2 linked regions of the Tamandua tetradactyla genome follow. The protein of the gene in region 1 purifies or fractionates together with the protein of each later gene. This does not show direct contact. Links are inferred from orthologs where the notes say so. Each region holds a gene or a part of one and is shown on either strand. Other genes may lie near its edges.

Region 1 (10,472 bases):
TCTTTCAAATTGTTCTTTATACTCTTCTTGTGTCTTCTCTGATATACTTTATGTCTTTAGCCAACTCACTGAAGATATTTAGGAGATTTGTTTGAACATCTTTGATTACATGCTCCAAATTCTGTGTCTCCTCCAGCTTTTTAATTTCATCATTTGGCTTGGATATATCCTCTTGCTTCTTTATACAGCTGGTGATTTTTTTGCTGGTTTCTTGCAAATCTCATTATCTTAAGGTCTCCTTTGTCACTTCGTTTTAATTAATAATTCCCTGTTAAACCAAGGCCCCGGCCTGTCTCAGGGGAAGCAGCACTTTTCAGAAGGCTGTTGGAGGCTGGCAGAGAAGCAGCTCGCCAATCTGCACTTCCCCCCATCTTCCCAGCAGATGGCACCCTTCAACCACCTCTTCCCCAAAACCTCGCCTCTCCCTGACTGTGGCATTTCACTGGGCAGGGTCCAGCCCAGGTTAAAATCCAGTGAAGGCCAGGCCCCCATGTGAAGCTGCTGGCTCCAGGGATGGGGGTGGGCACTGTGTGCAATGGCAAAGACTCTGGCTTATATTGGGTCTGGTGGTTCCATACTTCCATACTCCTGCAGGATAGGGAGGTTTGACTTTACCAGCTTGCAGTTGGCCCAGGAGTGCTTTGCTTTTTGCTAGCCAGCAAGACTGCCTCGGGGGTGTGGGAAGGGCACCTAGTTTTGCAATGTAGCTGCCTGGCCTCTGCCTCTCTGCTTCTGTTCGCAGTGAGTGCCCTGAGCCCCTGTGCCTAAAGGATTGAGGCAATGGGACCCAGAGCGTCTGTCTCTCTTGCCAGCCAATTTTCAGATCGGCTCTGCTCTGCATCCCCCTCTCCTCCTGAGAGGAGGGCTTCCCAGACTCCCTTAAGTCCAGGCACCTGCAGCAGCCTGCCTCAGGGATGGGGGATAGGCACTGGGCATCATAGCAGGGTCTCTGTGTGTGGATAAAATGAGTCTACTGGCTCCAGGGGTCCCACATGGGAATGCTAGTCTGTGGGACTGTAAGGATTGCCTCCCCCACCTCTCTGAACTGGGGCGTGTCACTCTTCGGTTGGCTGATCTGGCTGTTAGACCTTGGAGGTGGTTGCGATTGAATACACTCACCCCAATTTCTCAGTCGTAGTTTCTCTGCTTTTCCATCCGTTCTGCATTGTTTTCTTTATACAATGCAGAAGTTTGTCTCTGGCCACTGGGCTCTGGAACTGCTGCTTTGGTCATTTTCTGCCTGCTTTCTAGTTGTTTTATAGTGGAAGAGTGAGTTCTGCCTATCCTAATCTGCCATCTTCCCAGAAGTTCATTTCTCTATCTTACCGTGTTATTGCTGTGATTTAAACTCTATGGCATCTGTTCCTTAGGCTTGCATCCAGCTAATAGTAATACTAAGTTTTCCTTGAATGCCAGGTCTTTGTAGATGGACCTGTGCAAGTGCTCTCCTTCTGGATTTATCCACCCATGTGTTGAGAATAGTTCTAGGCCAAAGTGAAGGGACCTTCCTAATCCTTTCTGTGCATGCATTTTCTCTGTGGCCTTAGGAATTCCCCTATTTACAAAGATTCCCTCCTTTCTAGGAAAGTTTCTTTATGGTCCTAGGCAGCCTGCTGTGTATCCTACAGCCAGCCATGCCTTGCTGCAGGAGCATGACTTGACCGCTCTCTCACAGACAGAACTCCATGAGCTGTCTCCTACATGCAAGCCAAGTTCTGGGATGAGGAGTCCCTCAAGCCACCACCAGATAGACTGGGTCAGATACATGCATTCCCAGCATGTGTGTGTGTGTGGGCCACTCTGCTCCCTCTGGAACCAGGACCCAAGCCTGAGAACACAGGATGACTCTGTGCCAAGCTGATAAGGGATGAGGGAAGGGCCAGCTAGGGTGCCAGAAATCTTGCTTTTAAGTAGCCTTTTCTTGATCTGGTGCCTGCCCTGTAATTGCATTCTTTTAACTGTTTTCTGAAACTTTGAGAAGATGTTTCTGCCAGTTCTTGCTCGTTGTGCAAAGCTTCTGTGAAGAGACAGACATCTGAAGTGTCTCATTCCAAGATTGTCGGAATTTATGATTGGTATTGCATTTAATCTGTCGATTGCTTTGGGAAGAATTGCCATCTTAATATTTAGTCTTCTGATCCTGAACTCAGAATGCCCCTCCATTCATTTGGGTCTTCTTTAATTTCTTTCAGCAGTATTTTGTATCTTCCCACATACAAGTCTTTAGTTAAATTTATTCCCAGATACTAGTTTTTTCAGTTGCTATTGTAAATGGAAAATTTTTCTCAATTTCCTCTTCAAATTGTTCATTACCTAGTGTTTTGAAACACTACTGATTTTTGCATGTTGATCTTGTGCCCTGCCACTTCGCTGAATTTGCTTATTAGCTCTAGTAGCTTTGTGTGGATTCTTCAGGATTTTCTATATAGAGGATCATATCATCTGCAAATAGGGAAAGTTTTACTTCTTCCTTTCCAATTTGGGTGCCTTTTATTATTTCTAATTGCTCTGGCTAGAACTTCTAGTACCACACTGAATAGCAGTGGTGACAGTGGGCATCCTTGTCCTGTTTCTGATGTGTCTGCTGTTTTTTAATTCTGATTTAATTCTGCATCTGCATAGCTGAGTGGTCAGATAATGATTTGGGCAAAAGTTTTACTCAAACATCGTGGGTTTGTAAATCTTCCTCCCTCTGCCAGTAGATCTTTGGGTGGATTAAGAGATGCAATCAAAGTTGCCACCAGTTCTCAAGTTTCCCTTGGCTTTCAGCTTTCAATGGGTCCCTTCACTCACCTCCATGCATGTGAATAGTTTCCCAGCCAGCCAGGGGCATTTAAAGAACTTATTTTAGCCCTCAGATGAGTCTATTACCGATATCTTCCTGTTGGAAGATGTTTCTGGTTGCTTTGTCATTTGCCCCACTTGTAGTTAGCAAAATTGTGGGTTTTCCACGTTTATTTTCACCCGAGCATGCAAATTTTACTGTAATACTGTGAATTTTGACTTCCCACAACAAATGTAGTCCATCCCCTCTTGCAGCAAAGCTGCTAATCTTTTTGCTAGCCTGGTCCACCATGGTAAAACTAGAATTCTGGTTCAATGGAACGGGGGCAATAGGACTGGATTAGAATAGCCTCAAGCAAGAAGGTCGCAGATTTCCTGTTTTTTTTGGAAGTTCTAGCAGGTTTCCAAGAAAAGATACTTCAATTTGTTCGGTTGATTTCTGGTGCCCTGAAATTGCTGTTTTGGACAATTTTGTCTAGTTTCATACTCGTTTTAGGTTCAAAGGAATTGCCAGTCATGTCACACAGTCATAGACAAAATCCCTTTTATAATTTATTCTTAAGGGGCCTTTCAGTTTCATGTAAAAGAAATCTAATTTGAATGAGGTAAGACTTTCAGAACTTTGAGTCACAGAAAACCCAACACAAACTGGCTTAACCAATATGGGAATTGTATGGCTCACAATACTGAACAGTCTATAGGCACAAGTCTTGCTTCAGGTGAGGTTTGATTGTGTAGCTCTAATGGTGTCACCAAGAGCAAGGTTCTGTTCCATCTTTCTGGTACTTATTTGACAGTATTCGTGTCATCCTCAAGCTCAACCAACACCTTCCCTTTTAAACCCCATGCCTCCAGGCTCTCTCTTTACAGGTGCAAAATGTTACCACATTTTTCAGTTCTCATATTCGTAGACCATACCTGTGCTGATTTGAATCGGTTGTGTACCCCAGAAAAGCGATGTACTTTAATTCTCATTCAATATTGCTGGGTGGGACCTTTTTGACTTTTTCCATGAAGACATGACCCATCCCATTGTGGGTAGTAACTTTTAATTAGATGGTTTCCATGGAGATGTGTCTCCATCCATTCAAGGTGGGGTTGCTTACTGGAGCCCTTTAAGACGGAATCATTTTGGAAAAAACTTTGGAGCAACCAGAACCAAAAGAGTCCACGCAGCCAGAAACCTTTGGAGATAAGGAAGGAAAAAGCCCCTGGGGAACTCCACGAAGCCAGAAGCCGGGAGAGAAAGATAGACATCGTTATGTGCCCTTCCAGCTGACAGAGAACCCCCAAACTTCATCAGCCTTTCTTGAGTGAAGGTAACCTCTTGTAGGCACCTAAATTTGGACATTTTCATGGCCTCAGAACTGTAAACTTGTAATTTATTAAATTCCCCCTCTAAAAAGCCATTCCATTTCAGGCATGTTGTATTCCGGCAACTTGCAAACTAACAACATCAGAACATAAGAAAGCTGCACTTTCCTAGAGGCCCCAACACAAGTTTCTGTGGGATTCATTGACTCTGACTGGGCTATACATATCTCTCTGAAACTATCATAATTGTCACAGAGAATGGATATGCTGCATGGCTTAAATGGGAGGAACAAATATTTGGGAGGAAACTAACAAATATCTTCTATAATCACACACATTAGCCCTTAATAATAATGAGTACATGAATGAATATATTGAGTCATTAGACTCATAGACTCATAGCACATAGAGACGAGTTGCAGGAAATACCGGCTCTGAGCCCCAACCAACTGCATACATGCTACGAATTGCTTTCTCTCCTCCATTTCTCCTTTCTTTGTTCTTTGCAATCTCAATTGGCCACGTTCATTCTTACTGCAAACAGATATTGCATGGAATATAATCATCAGCAGTGACCTCAGCAGAAACCTTTTTTCTCCCTTCTTTGCGTCCTTTCAGCAACTTCTGGCATGGACCTAGCTTGGGTCAGTGCCTGTTCCTTGGCCCAATCAGCGTTGCCAGAGCACAGGGTCTAGTGATATGAATGATTACATCCCTACCCCAGTGGTCAGAGGAAACTGTTGTTTCCAGAAGCAGTGATGAGAACTTTTTTGGGGCAGTCTGAAAAAACAGTGGCTACCACAGACCACCTCAGCATCCAATTGTGGGAAGCTCTTGCGTGTAAGACTGAGGGGGGCGCTGAACTTTACTGGGTAGGACATGCAGAGTACAGAAGATAAATCTGTACTTAGATTTGAGAAAAACTGATCTGGGAGGGATAGTGTCGGCTGATTGTGGCCTGCCAATCCAAATATATAATGAAGTTTTAAAGAGAGCAATGCAGGTAGTAAAGGAAGCGACTGGGTACGACCATCTATCTGTCCCAAACCCCACTTCTTCCCTAAAAAACTGCCTACTTTCATAAAGCAAGAACAAGTGATAAGACCCTGCTTTCCAGCCCTCAATGTACATTAGAACAATTCTTCAAGTCCTTTACAAAGGACTTTTCTACGCCCTCGGTTCTGGAGGAAACCCAACTATTTCCAGTTCTACCGGTGCCTTAAATATGCAGCTGGGCAGTTCTTATCCAGGTGTTTCGTAAACGTGGCGCCAAAGGGATGGGTGGCGGGCAGGCAGCTGTCCGCTGCCCCACAGGGACCAAGGAATTTTGCAGACGATCCCGACAGTTTTTACAAGTCTCCCCCCACAAGTCCACGTCGCTTCCTCTTCCCAAAACCCCCAAGCAAAAGAGTTCCCACCGAAATGAACGGTCCCCCGCCCAGCTGAAGGCCAGGATTTCGCCCCACCCTGCGGCAGGCTGGGCCGGCCTCCGAGGCTGGTTTAACCGGTTAGCACCACTGAAGCCCGCTGGCAATAAGCAAGGGCTGGACTTCGAAAGCCGAGGACAGGCGGCTCAGGACGCGGAGGGACCACCACGGGAACAGCCCCCAAACCACCGCCGTTCACTCCTTTTCCGGGCAGGCAGCCCACCCAGTTCCCAAGGCCGCGCACTGCGCAGGCGCCGGCGCAGGACCAGCGCGTCGCGCACACTCGCGCTCTCGGTGACCACAGCGCGCCCGGGGCCGCAGGGCGCGCGATGCTTCCTGGGTATCGTAGTGCACACCCTCCGCACGGCGTCCTCCCGCGGCCCGAACGTCGGGTTTCCGCGGACTGCGCCTCCCAGCGTGCCCCGCGCGAGGGGCCCTCGACGGCCTTAGCCGTCAGCCTGCAGCAGCAGGACACCCGGAAGCGGCGCGGGGAGGGAGTGCGCCTGCGTGCGGGGCCGGCTCGTCCCGTTCCATCCCAGTCATTGTAAACAGGCGGCGGCTGGGCGGGGTGGGGATGGGGTTCCTGAGGCCGGCCAGGGGCGCGGCGCGGGGGGCGGTGACGGCGGCGGCGACGGCAGCGTGAGCGCGAGGTGGCGACGGCGGCTGGGGCGGCGGTCGCGCGGCGGCGCGCACAGGTCAGTCGTGTGGAGTGGTGGCGTGCCGTGGTCGCCGCAGAGCCCCTCGCGTACCCAGGGATCCTGCGGCCCCGGCCTCGCCCCGGGGTCTGTCAGGCGGCGGGCGGGGCTGGTGCTGACCGCTTGTCGGGGTTGGAGTTGGGGGCTGGGGGGCGTGGCTGCCCCGTGAGGGTTCCTCCCGGGCCGGGGTGCTGTCCCCCCTTGCTGTCTGTCCCGTCCACTGGCCGGCAGGCCTCCCCTGGTGGCATCCGCACGTGCGGTGGGGTGCTCTCTGGGTGTGGGGGGCCTCCGCCTTGCTTTCCCGCGCGGTAGGAGAGCCCTTCGGGAGCACGCTGAGCGGAGGAGAGGGGACTCGGACCCTTTTCATCATTGTTATTATCTCCTAGTTCTTACCCGGAATGTTGACCCTCGTCCAGCGCTTGCTCAGGGGACTGGAGATAGGCGCTTGATTTGTGCCCCGGCGGGTGGTGGAGCCCCGGGCTCCTTCGGGCACGACAGCCCTTAGTTCAGGTTTCAGTGGGAACGGACCGACAGATTTGGAGTTGAGAATGCTTCTCACGACCCGTTCTCAAGTGTGCATGTGCCCAAATGCTCTGCAATGAGGTCAGCTTTTTAAAAATTATTAATTTAAAATTTTTTTAAGTTTATCGTGGCCTTGAGAATGAACCAGGCTTTACAAACTATTCCAGCCTCAGCTTTACCTGAAGTAAGTGTGCTGTTTCAAGTTTTGGGATTCCTTACTACAGAGTCGCCCTCTTGAGCAAGCAGCGTGTTTCCTCTACGGCCTACTCGAGTTCTTGAATGTGATTAAATTTTTAATTCGAAGTGTTTTGAACGTGCATGTAAGAAAAGTACACTCGTTTGAACAATGAGTTACACCTTCCGGCAGGATTAGAAACACTTTCACTGACACTTTTGGTTGGTGGAGTGGACGTATTCTAATGTTGCAGTACGTTGGGCTGCACTCCAATATAGTGGGGCAGATATTCACAAATTAAGTGGTGCCAAGGAATAGGGCCACTTTTGGTTTGGAGCCCATGGAGGCAGCATTTCTAAATGAATAAATGGGACTGTAATGAGAAAGGTAAGATCACATCTACGTTTAGAATTATCTTAGTGCATTGATGTTTTCTGAGTATCTTCCTCAAAATGAGTAATTAATGTAAGCTGTGTCAGCAGTAGATGGGGTAGGAAAGAAGTCGGGAGAGTGGTTCCTGCTTTTCTGTCTGACCCATAGCTGCCAAGTCTGGCAGACTAATTTGAGTAACTATTGACAAGCAATTCTTTAAACAAAGTATCTTAAAAACAAAACTACATTATACCTAACTTGCTAGCTCTTCAAAATATTATTTTTCATTATTGATCTTACAGGGACCTTTTCTCCCTTAATGTAGAAAGATTAAAAATATTATTAGAAAATGCATATTAACTTTAATTTGTACCCTTTATCTCAAGGTGAGATTTAGGCCCAGAATGTAACCTGAAAGTATCTTCTATTTTGAAAGAAAATCTCTAATAGAAGCTTCCATTAGATTATGTAAGAGAGGACAAGGAAAAATGCAGATTATTTAGGGTAGAGGAATTATCGTGCAGCAGGTGCCATGCCAGGTAAAGAAGACTTAAAGATGAATAAGGCAGTATCCCTGCCTTCAGGATGGTGAGACTGTATCCCTTACTTGAACTGTCAACAAGCACAATACTTTTTTTGTTTTATCTTTTTGTTTTCGTTTTTTGTCGTTGTTGTTACTTTTATTTTTTTGTTTCAGTACAATACATTTTTATGAATACTTTGATTAGAAAAAAAAGTTTGTGGGTATGATGTGTGTACAAAGGAGATAGCTATCAGTTTCTCAAGGGAAGTGAAGGAGGAATTGAAGAAGAGGGGGGTGGTAAGTAAAAATATATATACAGATATAGAAAGGATGGGCATTTAAAAGGAATAGTGTGACCAAAAGTATGGCAACCTAGACATGAAATTGGGGGTGGGGTAGGCAGAGACCAAATTATGGATTTATGTCTCATATGTCATCAAAGTAATTTCAACTTTATTTTGTAGGCAAATGGGAGCCATTGAGACACGACAAAGAAGCGAGACCTAAGCCAGTTGAACCTATTTTTAACCCCCTCCTATGTGTTAAAAATTAGATGCTTTACAGTTTATGCCATTAAAGTTAAAGAAAATTTAGACATGACTAAGGCAGAAAAGGGAGGGAAAGGGACTTCAGGCAAAGAGAAAGTTGAACAAAGACAAGAGGGAGAGAGAGAACATAACACATTTATGAGAATGAAAAGTTGTTTTCTGTAGTAGAATTGGATTTGTGGTGTTGAGTAGCAGAAGATGAGGCTATACAGATAGATCCTCAAAAGCACCACATGCCATTTAAGAATTTTAGACATTTTTTTTCCTGTAGGTAATGATAGAGTATAGGAATTTTAATCAGTAAAGAAACATTGTAAGGTTTTCATTTGAGAGTGATCATACTGGTATTAAGGAGTATACTTTTCAGAAAGAATGGAGGGAAAGTGAGGTTGGATGCAGAAAAACTGCTTAGGAGGTTTCTGCAGTGAATGAGGTGATAGAAGGATCTAAACTAAGGCAGTGTCAGTAGGATTACAGAGGATTAGGTTAATAGAAATATTCAGTAGGTAGAATCCATAGGACTTGGTGGCAATTAGATTTGGGGAGTGAAGGAGAAATAGTAAGATAAGATGACTTGGATTTTAATTTTGGTGATTGATTAGACAGTGATGCAATCTAGTGAGTAAGGGAATTTAGGAAAAGGGGCAAATTTGAGGAGAAGCAATATTTTAGCTTTTGTATATATTGAGTGAAGCATCCATGTGTAAACATCTGCTGAGTATGAATTTAAAGTGGGAGAGAACGTTCTGGCTATGAGGGTCATCAGCTTAAATATGCTGTTAGATGAAGTCTTTGAATTAGGTAATACTGTGTACCGACTGAGAGAAGTACTAGAAGTAGACCCCGAAGAACAACATTTGAAGCCAGATAGAGGGAAAAATGGAAAAGGAAATTCTTAAGTGTTTAGAGATACGGAGAAATCATAAGGAAATATCATAATAGCCAAAGTGGGGTCATTTCAAAAGGAAGCTATACTTCAGATGCTTAAAGAAGTTAATTTAAGTAAGGATTTTTAAGAGTCTTTTGAAGTTGATAACAAGAAGGCTGTTGGATTTGATAAATGAGTGAGAGTAGTTTTGGTAGACTGTATCAGGAGCTAGATTTTATTGACTTGAGTTAATGGGAGGTCAGAGAGTGGAGACAACAAATGTGGATTGTTTCTGGAAGCTCACCTGTGAAGTGAAAAGTAGAAAGGAGGTGATAGCAGAAGGTGATGAATGTCTGAGGGAGGGAATTTTAACATGGCAAAGATTTGAGCCTACTTGTTTTGTTGTATCAGATTGGAGATATCCGTGTACCATAAAATTTACCCTTTTAAAGGTACATTTTAGTGGTTTTTGATTTGTACACTTGTGCAGCCATCCTCACAAGCAATTTTAGAACATTTTCATCACCCCAAAAAGAAACCCCTTAGCTGTTAGCAGTCACTCACCACTTTTGTCTTACCCATTGCCTGGCAACCGCTAATCTACTTTCTGGCTCTGCATATGCCTTTTCTGTGTGTTTCATATGTGGAATCATGTATGTGGTCTTTTGTGACGGCTTCTTTCACTTAGCATAATGTTTTCAAGGTTCATCCATATTGTAGCATTTATCAGTACTTCATTCCTTTAAATTGTCCAGTATACTCCATTGTCTGAATATACCACATTTTTTATCCATTCATTAGATGCTGAATACTTAAATTGTTTCTATTTTTTGGCTGGTATGACTAAAATGCTGGTATGAATATTCATGTACAATTATTGTGTGGACATATATTTTCATTTATTTTGGATCATATGGTTAGAGTAGAATTGCTGGGTCATACAGTAACTATGTTTAGCATTTTGAGGAACTGCCAAACATTTCCACAGAGGCTGTGAACCATTTTACATTCCCACCAGCAGTGATGTGTACTCCCCAACCCCACCTATACTTGTTATATTCTCTCTCTCTCTCTATTTTTTTGAATAATATCCACCTAGTCGGTGTGAAATGGTATCTCCTGGTTTTAAGTTGCAGATCCCTAATGACTAAAGATAGTGAACATTTTTTTTCATGAACTTGTGGGTCATTTGTATATCTTCCTTAGAGAAGTGTCTATTCAGGTCTTTTGTTCATTTTTATTTG
Region 2 (10,037 bases), on another chromosome or scaffold:
GAATAAATGTACCTATTTCTCAACATCCTCTTGAACACTTGTTATTTTCTGTTTTTTTTTCTTTCTTTCGTAATAGTAGCCATTCTAAATGATATCTCATTGTGGTTTTGATTGGCATTTCCCTAATAGCTAATGATGTTGAACCTCTTTTCATATGCTTTTTTGGGTCATTTTTATATCTTCTTTGGGGAAATGTCTATTCAAGTCTTTTGCCCATTTTTAAAATTGTGGTTTTTTTTTTTTTAATCTTTTTTGTTGTTCATTTGTAGGATTTCTTGTATATCCTGGATATTAAATCCTTATCGGATATGTAGTTTCTTAATATTTTCTCCCATTTTGTAGTTTTTTTGTTTTTTTTTTTTTACTTTCATGATGAAGTCCTTTGATGCATGAAAGATTTTTAATTTTGATGAAGCCCAATTTATCTGTTTTTTCTTTGATTACTTGTGCTTTTGAGGTAAATTCTAAGGGGCTATTGCCTAACACAAAGTCCTAACGATGCTTCCCTACATTTTCTTCTAGGAGTTTTATAGTCCTGATTCTTATATTTAGATCTTTGATCCATTTTGAGTTAATTTTTGTGTATGGTGTGAGGTTGGTGACCCCTTCATTCTTTTGCATATGGATATTTAGTTTTCCCAGCACCATTTGTTAAAGAAACTATTCTTTCCCAATTGAATGGAGTTGGCATCCTTCTCAAAAAGCAATAAATGTGAGGATTTTTTTCTGAACTCTCAATTGAATTCCTTTGGTCTATGTGTCTGTCCTTGTGCCAGTATGACACTGTTTTGACCACTGTAGTCTTGAAATTAGACAAAATGAGGAAATGTATTTTGCAGTTTTAAATATTCTTTTTGGTTCTCTTATAAAGCTGAATGTTCTGTTTTCAACTCTGACTCTACCTTTCTCTCTTGTGCTTCCTATTCCTTTTTTATGGCTTAAATTATTTTCAACATACTTCATTTTATCCAATCCAACTTTATCCAATATTTGTCAACTGAAGTTCTAGGAAAAACTATTGTGGTCCATTGCTGATTTTTGTTCAAAACGTACTGTTTCTCTCTGCATCTTATAATTTTCAACTGTAATCCCATCTTCAATTTGAGATTGTACCTTTAGGCTGAATTGTGTTTATGTAGGCCAGGTACAACAGGAATATCACCATCCCAGCTCCAACTATTTCTTTTTTATCAGTTTTTTTTTAATGATGTATTTTACATACAGTACCATTCACATCTTTTAACTATCAGTTTGATGAGATTTGATAAATGTACACATTTATGCAACTACCACCACAGTTAAGATATGAACATTTCCATCACCCAAACAGTTCCCATGTTAGCCCAACTTTTAGGATAATATCTTATCTGGGGATTTCTGGACCACGTAGGTAGGATAAAGTAGAAATGTGTGAACCCCCTAACTGCATGTGGCTTAGATCTAAATTACAATTTTTCCAAAGAGATTATTTTTTCTAAATCTGAATCCAGGCAAAGGCAACCTTCCTGTTTGCTGGTAGGAAGATCCCTCTTCTTCCCCACTCCCTCCAGTCTTTCTTTGCTGGTGTAGTTCTTTGAAGGCTCTGGCATTTCATGGGTGTCTTAGTAACAACTTCTTGCTTTGTATGGCCCTAAGACAAGTCCTGTACCTGCTGGATAAATTCCATGGTTAACAAGCTGCTGTGCCTAGTCTCAGCTGCCAGGTTTAGTACTTTGGTTTTTTAGTCCTCCCTCTTCCTCCTTTTCTGACACACAAATTTTAATGAAGTATAATTTACATACAGAAACGTACACAAATCATAAATAAATAGTGCAATACCTTTTCACAAGTGAACACACCTGTGTAACAAGCACAAAGCTCAAAAAAAAAGAGAACATTACTAGAAATCTAGCACACTTTCCAGTTACTACCACTTCCAAAGAGAATCTTTATCCTGACTTCTATTAATTTAGCCTAGTTTCAAATTTTATATAAATGAAATCATTCAGTATATACTTTTTTGTGTCTGGCTTTTTTTCACTCATCATTGTGTTTGTAAGGGTCATTCATGTTGCTTCATGCAATTCTAATTCATTCATTCCCATTGACTCATAATACTTCATTACGTGAATATAACAGAATTTATGATCTAGCCCACTATAGGTTGATATTTAGGTTGTTTCCAGTTTTCCTCTTTGCTTTTGGACCCTGGGATTTCCTTCTATTTTATTTTGCCCTCTGCTGTACATTTAATAGGATTTAGAAAGTGTTTCCTGGTCACTATTTCTAGATGTTCTGTGTTGGGATATTTTAGTTTTTGTAGGCTGCCAAATCTCCAGTTACTCATATGGTTATTTTTTTTGCTGAAATTCTTATTTGATTCTCACCTGACTTACCTTAGGTGATGACTGTGGTTTGTAGAAATAGTTTGGATTTCTGTGAACCAATAATGAGTGATAGAAAACAGGAGAACAACAGAGGTGTTAAGCTATATAATTGATCTTGAAGTCATGATCTCTTGCCGGGGGAGATGCTGGTGAGCAAAGTTAGTTTGGCATTAATGGATGTAAAATATGGAAAAAACAAGTTAAAGAAATAGGGGTGGCTGAAGACAGTAATTGTCAGAGGTGTGGATATGGTTGTTTGGGTCCAGGATCTTCTGGCTAGTTGTCACCAAGGAGACGAAATGAGAGAGACACTCTCTTGATGACTCTGTGGTATGTAATCAATGTGTTGCCAGAAAAGCCACTCTAAAGCGGACCTGCTTTTGCCCTTCAAAAGTAATTGCCCTACTAGACATGTGATTCTCAACCAGGGGCATATTTGGCAATGTCTGGAGACATTTTTGGTTGTCATGATTGGCGGCACGTTACTGACATCTAATGTGTAGAGAGCCTAGGGAAGCTGCTAAACATCCTAGGATGCCCAGCACGGCTCCCGCAACAAAGAATGATCTGACCCCAAGTGTCAGTAGTATGGAGGTGGAGAAACCCTGTATTAGGTCTAGGTACTAGATGCAGCCTCTAAATCAAACACGCATTTAAATAAACACTATGAGCTATCTTTTAGGAAGTGATAACCCCACAATGATATATTCTTCTATTTTTCCATCAAAATTCTGTGATAACTAGTTTTGTGATAACCAGCTCACACTTAGCTCCTTTAATTCTTTTCAAAACCCTAACAATGGCTCTGACAACCACCAATCCATTCAGAGTTTGAAGAGAATCACTCAGATTGCACATTTATGTAAGTAGATATGTACAGCAATTTATTTATAGCTATGAAAATCATTGTAATTTTATTGTTGGAAAAAACACCAAAGTTCCAAGGCTATAGGGTGAATCAACTGCAAAGATGGCACTAAACAAATAAATATTTTGCTGTTATGCCTTAAAATTAGATTACAAGGTATTGTTTTCCTTTGTTTTTCTAGTTTTTGCAGCTCGGATTTAGTACAAAGCTAAATTTCATTGTTTCTTCAATGGAGGTGATTATCTAAATTTGCCCCTCCTTCCTCCAGGCACCACACACTAACATCTATTCTTCTGATTCATTTCCCCTAGAAAGCTGCAAGGGAGTTTTATAATGATATTATTGGTTTTGTAACTGGTGATTCCATTGTAATGCTATTACTGAGCCAGTGTTGTGATAAATGGTCTGTTTATAAGGGGAATCACTTTTACAAGAAATAGAAAATTAGACACACTTCTGCTTTGCAATAACATTAAAACCACAGTGAAAAAGAAATTCTCCGGTTTATTCCCATCTGTAGCAGCAGGGAAGCCTTAGAAGATGGCTTTCTCCCTAAAGTCTTCTAAACATGATTACTGCCTACACATACCATGTCAAAATGCAGATTTCCTCCAAATCCTATTCAAGACCAAAGCATTCTTAAGCTTACCATGACGTGGGCCCTTTAAGAAAGCCAGGCGCTTCAAACTCCACCCCCTCTGCTGACTTGAAGCAGTCAAGCTGCCTTTTTGAGGCAGTTAGTTAGTGATAAAGCTGAGAGGGCGCCAATTTGCCCCCTGCTCTGCGGGGAAGGAATGTTCCTGTTGCTGTAAGCTCTAAAAGTGGAAGCTTTAGCTACTATGGGATAGGGAACAATAGAAACATGTGAACTATGGAAGCTAGACCCACTCTTAAGATTCTTTCACGGTGCTGAATAAAGGGGAAAGAATGTTGTTTAATCGGAGCTTTCCCCTGCGGTGCTGCTCCCTGCTAGCTTTACTCTTCCATTTCACACGGCCAGTGAGTTTTCTAGAGCCGTTTCCAATTTAACAAGCTGCTTATATCATTTACCCAAAAGAAAAAGCTAGGAAGACATGTAAGTTTCAATGAAAATTAAACCAGTTCACTTATAACAGAATTATTTAGATTCGCTTTGTTTCTGAAGCACACAGCCATATTTTGGTCACACCAACAGGGTCTAAGTTCAGAAGTCCTCCAGCAGTAAACTAAAAAACAGGAGAAATTTGGGATTTAATTGCAGTTGGCATTTCTGAGCTGTCTGCTAGGAATAGCCACCTCAGTAAAAGATGATGTCATTTGGAACATTTGCAATTTAGAGTTTATTCTGAGGTACCAGTTTCCATTAGCCACTGAATAATGGTTTAATCATTACATCAAATTTAGGTGCAACGATAAGGTAGGGGATAAAAATCATTAAAGCCATTTCTTTTCCTTCCTAACATTTTTATAAACCTTTCAAAAAGCTGAAAGCAGTAGGCATTTTTTTTTTTTTTTTGCATGGGCAGGCTTGGGGAATCGAACCAGGGTCTCTGGAGTGGCAGGCGAAGCAGTAGGCATTTTAAACAATTGTTTTATTGGTAGTATTATTTTTTCTCTTTTGTGTTTCCTGTGTTTGTTCTTTCTTTGACCAAGCTTGGAAACTAAAACTAGTCCAGCCAGTTTCACTTTCCAATTTTTATACATAAGTGAAAGCTGTTTTTTTTTGTGCCAACAGTGTGGTATTTAGAATCAAATCACCTGCTGGGCCAATTTCCCGCAACTGGTTTTTGGGAGGGGGAGGGGAAATAAAATTTGATTAGGAATTTCTTATGCTTCAAAGCTAGAATCCTGTATTAGACCATATTAAAGTAATTAAAGTTTTTTTTTAAAAGCTATTAAAGTTTTCTAAATAAGGGTAATGATCATATTTTCTTTCCACTTGACCATCACAAATTTGTACAGCAGAATGCTATGCTTTCATTTACTTTGGAAATTTGGCACTTACATGTGTTTCAATATTTACACCAGAAGTGTTTCTCTTCCCTTTCTGACTTTGAATTAAATAACTGTTAGTGTCTTAATCCTTTTGGTTGACATGTGTTGATACTGTTTGCAAGATGCACAAAGAAAAAAAAATAATTCTAGCTTGCTTAAATAATTGAGCGCTGTGTAGGTTTATGAGATTAGGAGGAATAGAGAGGGCGATGTGCCTCTTCGGCAAATTCTTTTTTAACGAGGTTAGCCTGTGTCTATTTCACCCTACTCTGCTCCTTGGAGGGGAACGTTCTGTTCTCTTTGCTCCATCCAAAGCTTCTCAGCCAGTACTGGGAAGATAAAACTGCAAGGGCCGCGTTGATGTGTGACAGACAGAGGGAGTTACCCGCACACACAAATCGGCGGAAGATGGGGCCACGACACGACCGGGGCTGGGTGCAGGAGCCAGGCTGACCTTTCCACGTGTCCTCAGCACCTGCGAGGCTGGTTGGGCATTGGGTTTCTCTTTCGCCGGAGTAGGCGCGAGCCCGGAAGAGGCTGGGCTGCCGTGGTTTAGGTCAGGGGTCTCGGAGGCCCTCCCCCAGACCACGTGCGGACTTGGAGCTGGTGGTTCGGACGCTGGCCTGGCTTTTCCGCACCCGCAGTGCCCCCACGTCAGCAGCTCGCCTGCGGACGCCAGGAGACGGGACGGGACTGCGGGCGGGTTCCCGCAGCTTTCCGCAAGCCTTGTAGAGCGGCCTAGCGAGCGCGCCAGGCCGGGCTGGAGCGAGCCCCAGTGCAATACTGCCCGAGCCCGGGCGGGGTCTCTGTTCTCTGGCAGAGGAGGTCCCTTGGCAGCGGGAAGCTCTCTCTCTTTCTCTCGTCGCCGCTCCGAGTCTGCGCCCTGGTGCCAGGCGCTCAGCTCGGCGCTCCCCTGTGCTTGCCCGGCGCCCACTCATTCGCAGCCCAGCCTTCGCCGCCGCCGCCTCCCTGCTCCTCCTCCTCCTCCTTTCCCCAGCCCGCCGCGGCCATGGCGGACAGCGCCAGCGAAAGCGACACGGACGGGGCGGGGGGCAACAGCAGCAGCTCGGCCGCCATGCAGTCGTCTTGCTCGTCGACCTCGGGCGGCGGCGGCGGCGGCGGTGGCGGCGGGGGAGGCGGCGGCGGAGGTGGGAAGTCCGGGGGTATTGTCATCTCACCGTTCCGCCTGGAGGAGCTCACCAACCGCTTGGCCTCGCTGCAGCAAGAGAACAAGGTGCTGAAGATCGAGCTGGAGACCTACAAACTCAAGTGCAAGGCGCTGCAGGAGGAGAACCGAGACCTGCGCAAAGCCAGCGTGACCATCGTGAGTGCTCCCCCGGGGCGCGCCGCAGCGCCGACCTCCGCCCGCCTCCGCGAGCGGCTGCATCCCAACCCGGGCAACCCTATAACCCCCACTCCCCAGGCTCCTGGGGATCTGCAGCGAACAACTCCTCGCTGAGACCTGCCCGCGCCCGGAGAGGAGGGGGGTGGTGTCTGTTGCGGGGGGAGAGGGCATGTGTCCTTTAGGTGGCCATGGGGGTCTGCCCTTCCTTGTGGTCCGGGTCCCTCGCGGGGTTCGGGGAAAAACAGTTGGGGCAATCCCCGACGGTTTCTTTTCGCCTTTGGGGAGGAGGCCGCTCCGGGGCAGGGCTGCAAGCTGGCGGCGTGGCTGGGGGGCGGGGTGGGACTGCTTCAGTCTTAGCTTGCCTGTGGGGTGCGTCCGGAATCTAGGGGAACCCTAGGCTGGGAAAGAGGGAAGAAGCATGGCCCTGTTCCAAGGGCCTGGTTTGAGGTGCGCAGCTGGGCTGGGCACTCAGCTGGTATCTGGACGGCTCTGGCGGGATCGCCCGGGGGTGGGGGGTGGGGTGGGGCGGGAGATTGACCGGGAATCCGGGAAGTGGAGTTCTCTGGTCAGGATCGAGAGAGAAAGGCGGGCACCGGCGCTGGTGCACCCTCCTCTGTTGGAAAACCATTCCTTTCGGGGCGGGATATATATACGGGAGAGTACAGCATCCAACACTGACCTAGACAGCTGAGGCCGAAACCAGAGTGAGGGGTTGCGGCTGCGACTGTCTTGCTGAGCAAGCTGTCCGTATGCTTCCTCATTTGGTGGTGGAGTGTGTAAAGGTATATTACCTCCGAGTCCAGGTACTCGACTGAAGAACAGGCCATCTGTTTTCACCTGGTCCCTGGAGGCTTCCCAGAAGGGTAAGGTTAGGTCTGTAGTTCTGTCTGTAGTGGGCTGTGATGAGGGGAAACATAACTGGAAAAAGTACACTGTGTGCTCTTAACATCCCTGCCAGCTTGCCACATCATTAACATGCAGAATCCTCATACAGACAACTCTATTCAGATCAAAACAGCCACCCATCCAGGAGCAGAGAAGAAAATGTCAAGGAATCAAAGGAATAAATTGCCTTAGCTGCTGGACAATAGCTGATTAGGTGGATTCTTCAGATGAGAAAGGGGAGAACTTTTAGTATGGATCAAAGGTCACGGCCTGGAAGTGAAATAGGGCAAGTTTAGGATGACCCTGTGCCAGGAAAGGGTCTTGAGTGGAGGAGTATGTGTGTTGCCCCAAAATGAGCTTGTGCATGGGAATTGGATGGCATTCTTAATTCGTTTCGAAAGCAGGTTTTCCATCGGAATTTGCTGGCAGCAGCCTAATTAGGAATTGATTGTAGAAAGGCACTTTGTATGTTCGAACCCAGTCCTGGTGAACGGAATTAGAGCAACATTCACCCATATCAAGACTATTAAGTTTCTGAAGGGCCCTTAAGGTAGCAAGGGGGAGGAATTTGCAGAGGCAGCCTCCAAGCCTCTTTTGTAGGCTTTCTTGACTGAGAGAAATATCTCAGCCTGCTGGGATCTTGAAAAGAGGGAAACGTTGATGTTGCCAGTTTATTTAAGGTTTGAGTGAGTAAATGAGAGGGTTGCTCTCTTGGAGAATTTGAACCACCAAAAAGTAGTGAAACTTTCCTGAAACAGAATCTCTAGCCTCTTGCCTACAGCCAGCAATTCAGGCTGTTTTTGTTTGTCTGGGATGGAGGAATGGCTGGTGGGGGGTGGAGATGGAGAGATTATGAAAGGGTTATCTGTTTGACACTTTGACCATACTATAAGTAGGTCTGTAAATTGTACACAAACATGTTGGCTCTGCACAGTCAAAACACGTTCACTCCTGGTATAAAAGACCAGAGGCCTTCTGAATACGTGGATTGAGAAGTGTGTAAGGTGATGGCTTTATTTATTTATTTTTTTAGCACTAAACCTCAGCTAAAGTTGACATTTAACCTAATACACTTTGTGAAGTATTCTGTGGCTTTACATTAAAAAAATGTTTTGGATGACAGCCTAACAAGTACCACTACTAGAAGCTTCTTAGTTCTTTTCTTATCTCTAATTAATATATTCAGGGAGACAAACTTGTGGTTCAGCTGGGTCTCCTAGTACTGGGCAGGTGTTGGTTACTAAGGAGCTGTATGACAGCTGCAGAGAAAAGAGTTCCTGCAGGCATTTAAGGATTTTGTTGATTGACTTAGGATCCAGAGTGTGATGGGATTGGTTTTCAACCATCAGGTATGTAATTGGGGAGGAGAAACGTGCAGACTCCATGAAATGGGTTTGTGAATGTTTGAGTCCATGGAACATGATTGTGGTGGTTTATGTCAGGGTTAATCTGCGGCATCCCTGGCACCTCTCACTTAAAAACATTACCCTTGCTAGTAGCTGCCTAAGCTGTTTATCACATTGCCTAGATAATCAATTAAGTGAAGGCCTTGGTAGATTTTTCATTGTTACTTAATTTGAAGGGAAGATGGTATCATAATCGTATTACTTACCTTTCTGGCTCTTAGCCCCCAGTTCCTCTAATTATGATATTAAGTTTCATGTTCTCGAACACTAGAGGTGATTGTGGATGTCTTTCCTTTGCCCTGATCATGTACAGGAAGGACTTTACTAATCAGCCACACCCTGAAGAAGAGAGAGAGGCCTTCCTTTCTTTAGCCAAGTCAAGGAGCTAATAGAAGCCCTTATCTAGTGATCTTTTTTATCGCTTTTGGTATCTAAGTGTTTATTCTGATCAAGCTACCCATTTAATAAAGAACTAATTTCATAGGTCTGTGCTCTCCCACCTCCTGTAATAGAGGGAAACCTCATCCACAGGGAGAATCAACTCTAAGAGTCCTTGTCTCCATGTTTTCAATGGTCCAGTGCATTTTATTTGTGGCTTAGAGATGGAATGCAGTGTTTTGAGTGACTATCTAACTTCACAGAAAAATTGGCAGTGGAACCAGGCTGCAGATTATAGATCATAATTTCTTCCCTGGGATGGGGGAAATAAGCAAAAACCAAGTGCTCAGACGCTTTTTTGAATCCCTTATGAATCCTTTATATATCAGAGTAGTTTTTAGATGTTAGAGCAGATGTGTCTGGCTTGCACTGTGGGTGCAAATGTGAATGTGAATTATCTGATTCAGTGTAGTGAGAGATGGCAAGGGATGCTAGTCTCTGAGAAGCTGTGGAAATGCAATTGTGAGCAGTAATTGGAAGGTTTTAAAATCACCAACTTGTTGCCGCTGTTCTCAGAATATAAGCAAGGTCTCACATGGTGGAGGCTGGTTGTCTTAGGGTGTGTGCTTTTTCTAGAGGTTCAAACCCTTTAGCATATGTTTGATTGGGACATAGAGATCTACTATAAATCTTTAGCATCAAAGTGTCCTTTCCTGACTAAAATTAACCATTATAGAAATTTAGAAAAATACCTAAATTTAAAGACATTTTGCAGTTATTGTAGGGAAAATGTGGTGTGGCATGATTAGAAAAGC

Evidence for each region.
Region 2: the proteins of RALBP1 (region 1) and CCDC6 purify together in Homo sapiens (affinity purification with mass spectrometry; 3 studies listed by BioGRID and IntAct, counting the BioPlex papers as one, with this or other methods). This does not show direct contact. The link is inferred for Tamandua tetradactyla from reciprocal best matches to the Homo sapiens genes RALBP1 and CCDC6.

The regions. Positions count from the first base shown.
Region 1 is NC_135344.1:73,017,305-73,027,776, forward strand, and holds the start of RALBP1 (ralA-binding protein 1), read left to right. Parts: upstream 1-6,158; 5' UTR 6,159-6,220; intron 6,221-6,253; exon of another isoform or gene 6,254-6,307; intron 6,308-10,472. UniProt on the Homo sapiens protein: Multifunctional protein that functions as a downstream effector of RALA and RALB. As a GTPase-activating protein/GAP can inactivate CDC42 and RAC1 by stimulating their GTPase activity.
Region 2 is NC_135339.1:37,347,476-37,357,512, forward strand, and holds the start of CCDC6 (coiled-coil domain-containing protein 6), read left to right. Parts: upstream 1-5,593; 5' UTR 5,594-6,217; coding exon 6,218-6,532; intron 6,533-10,037.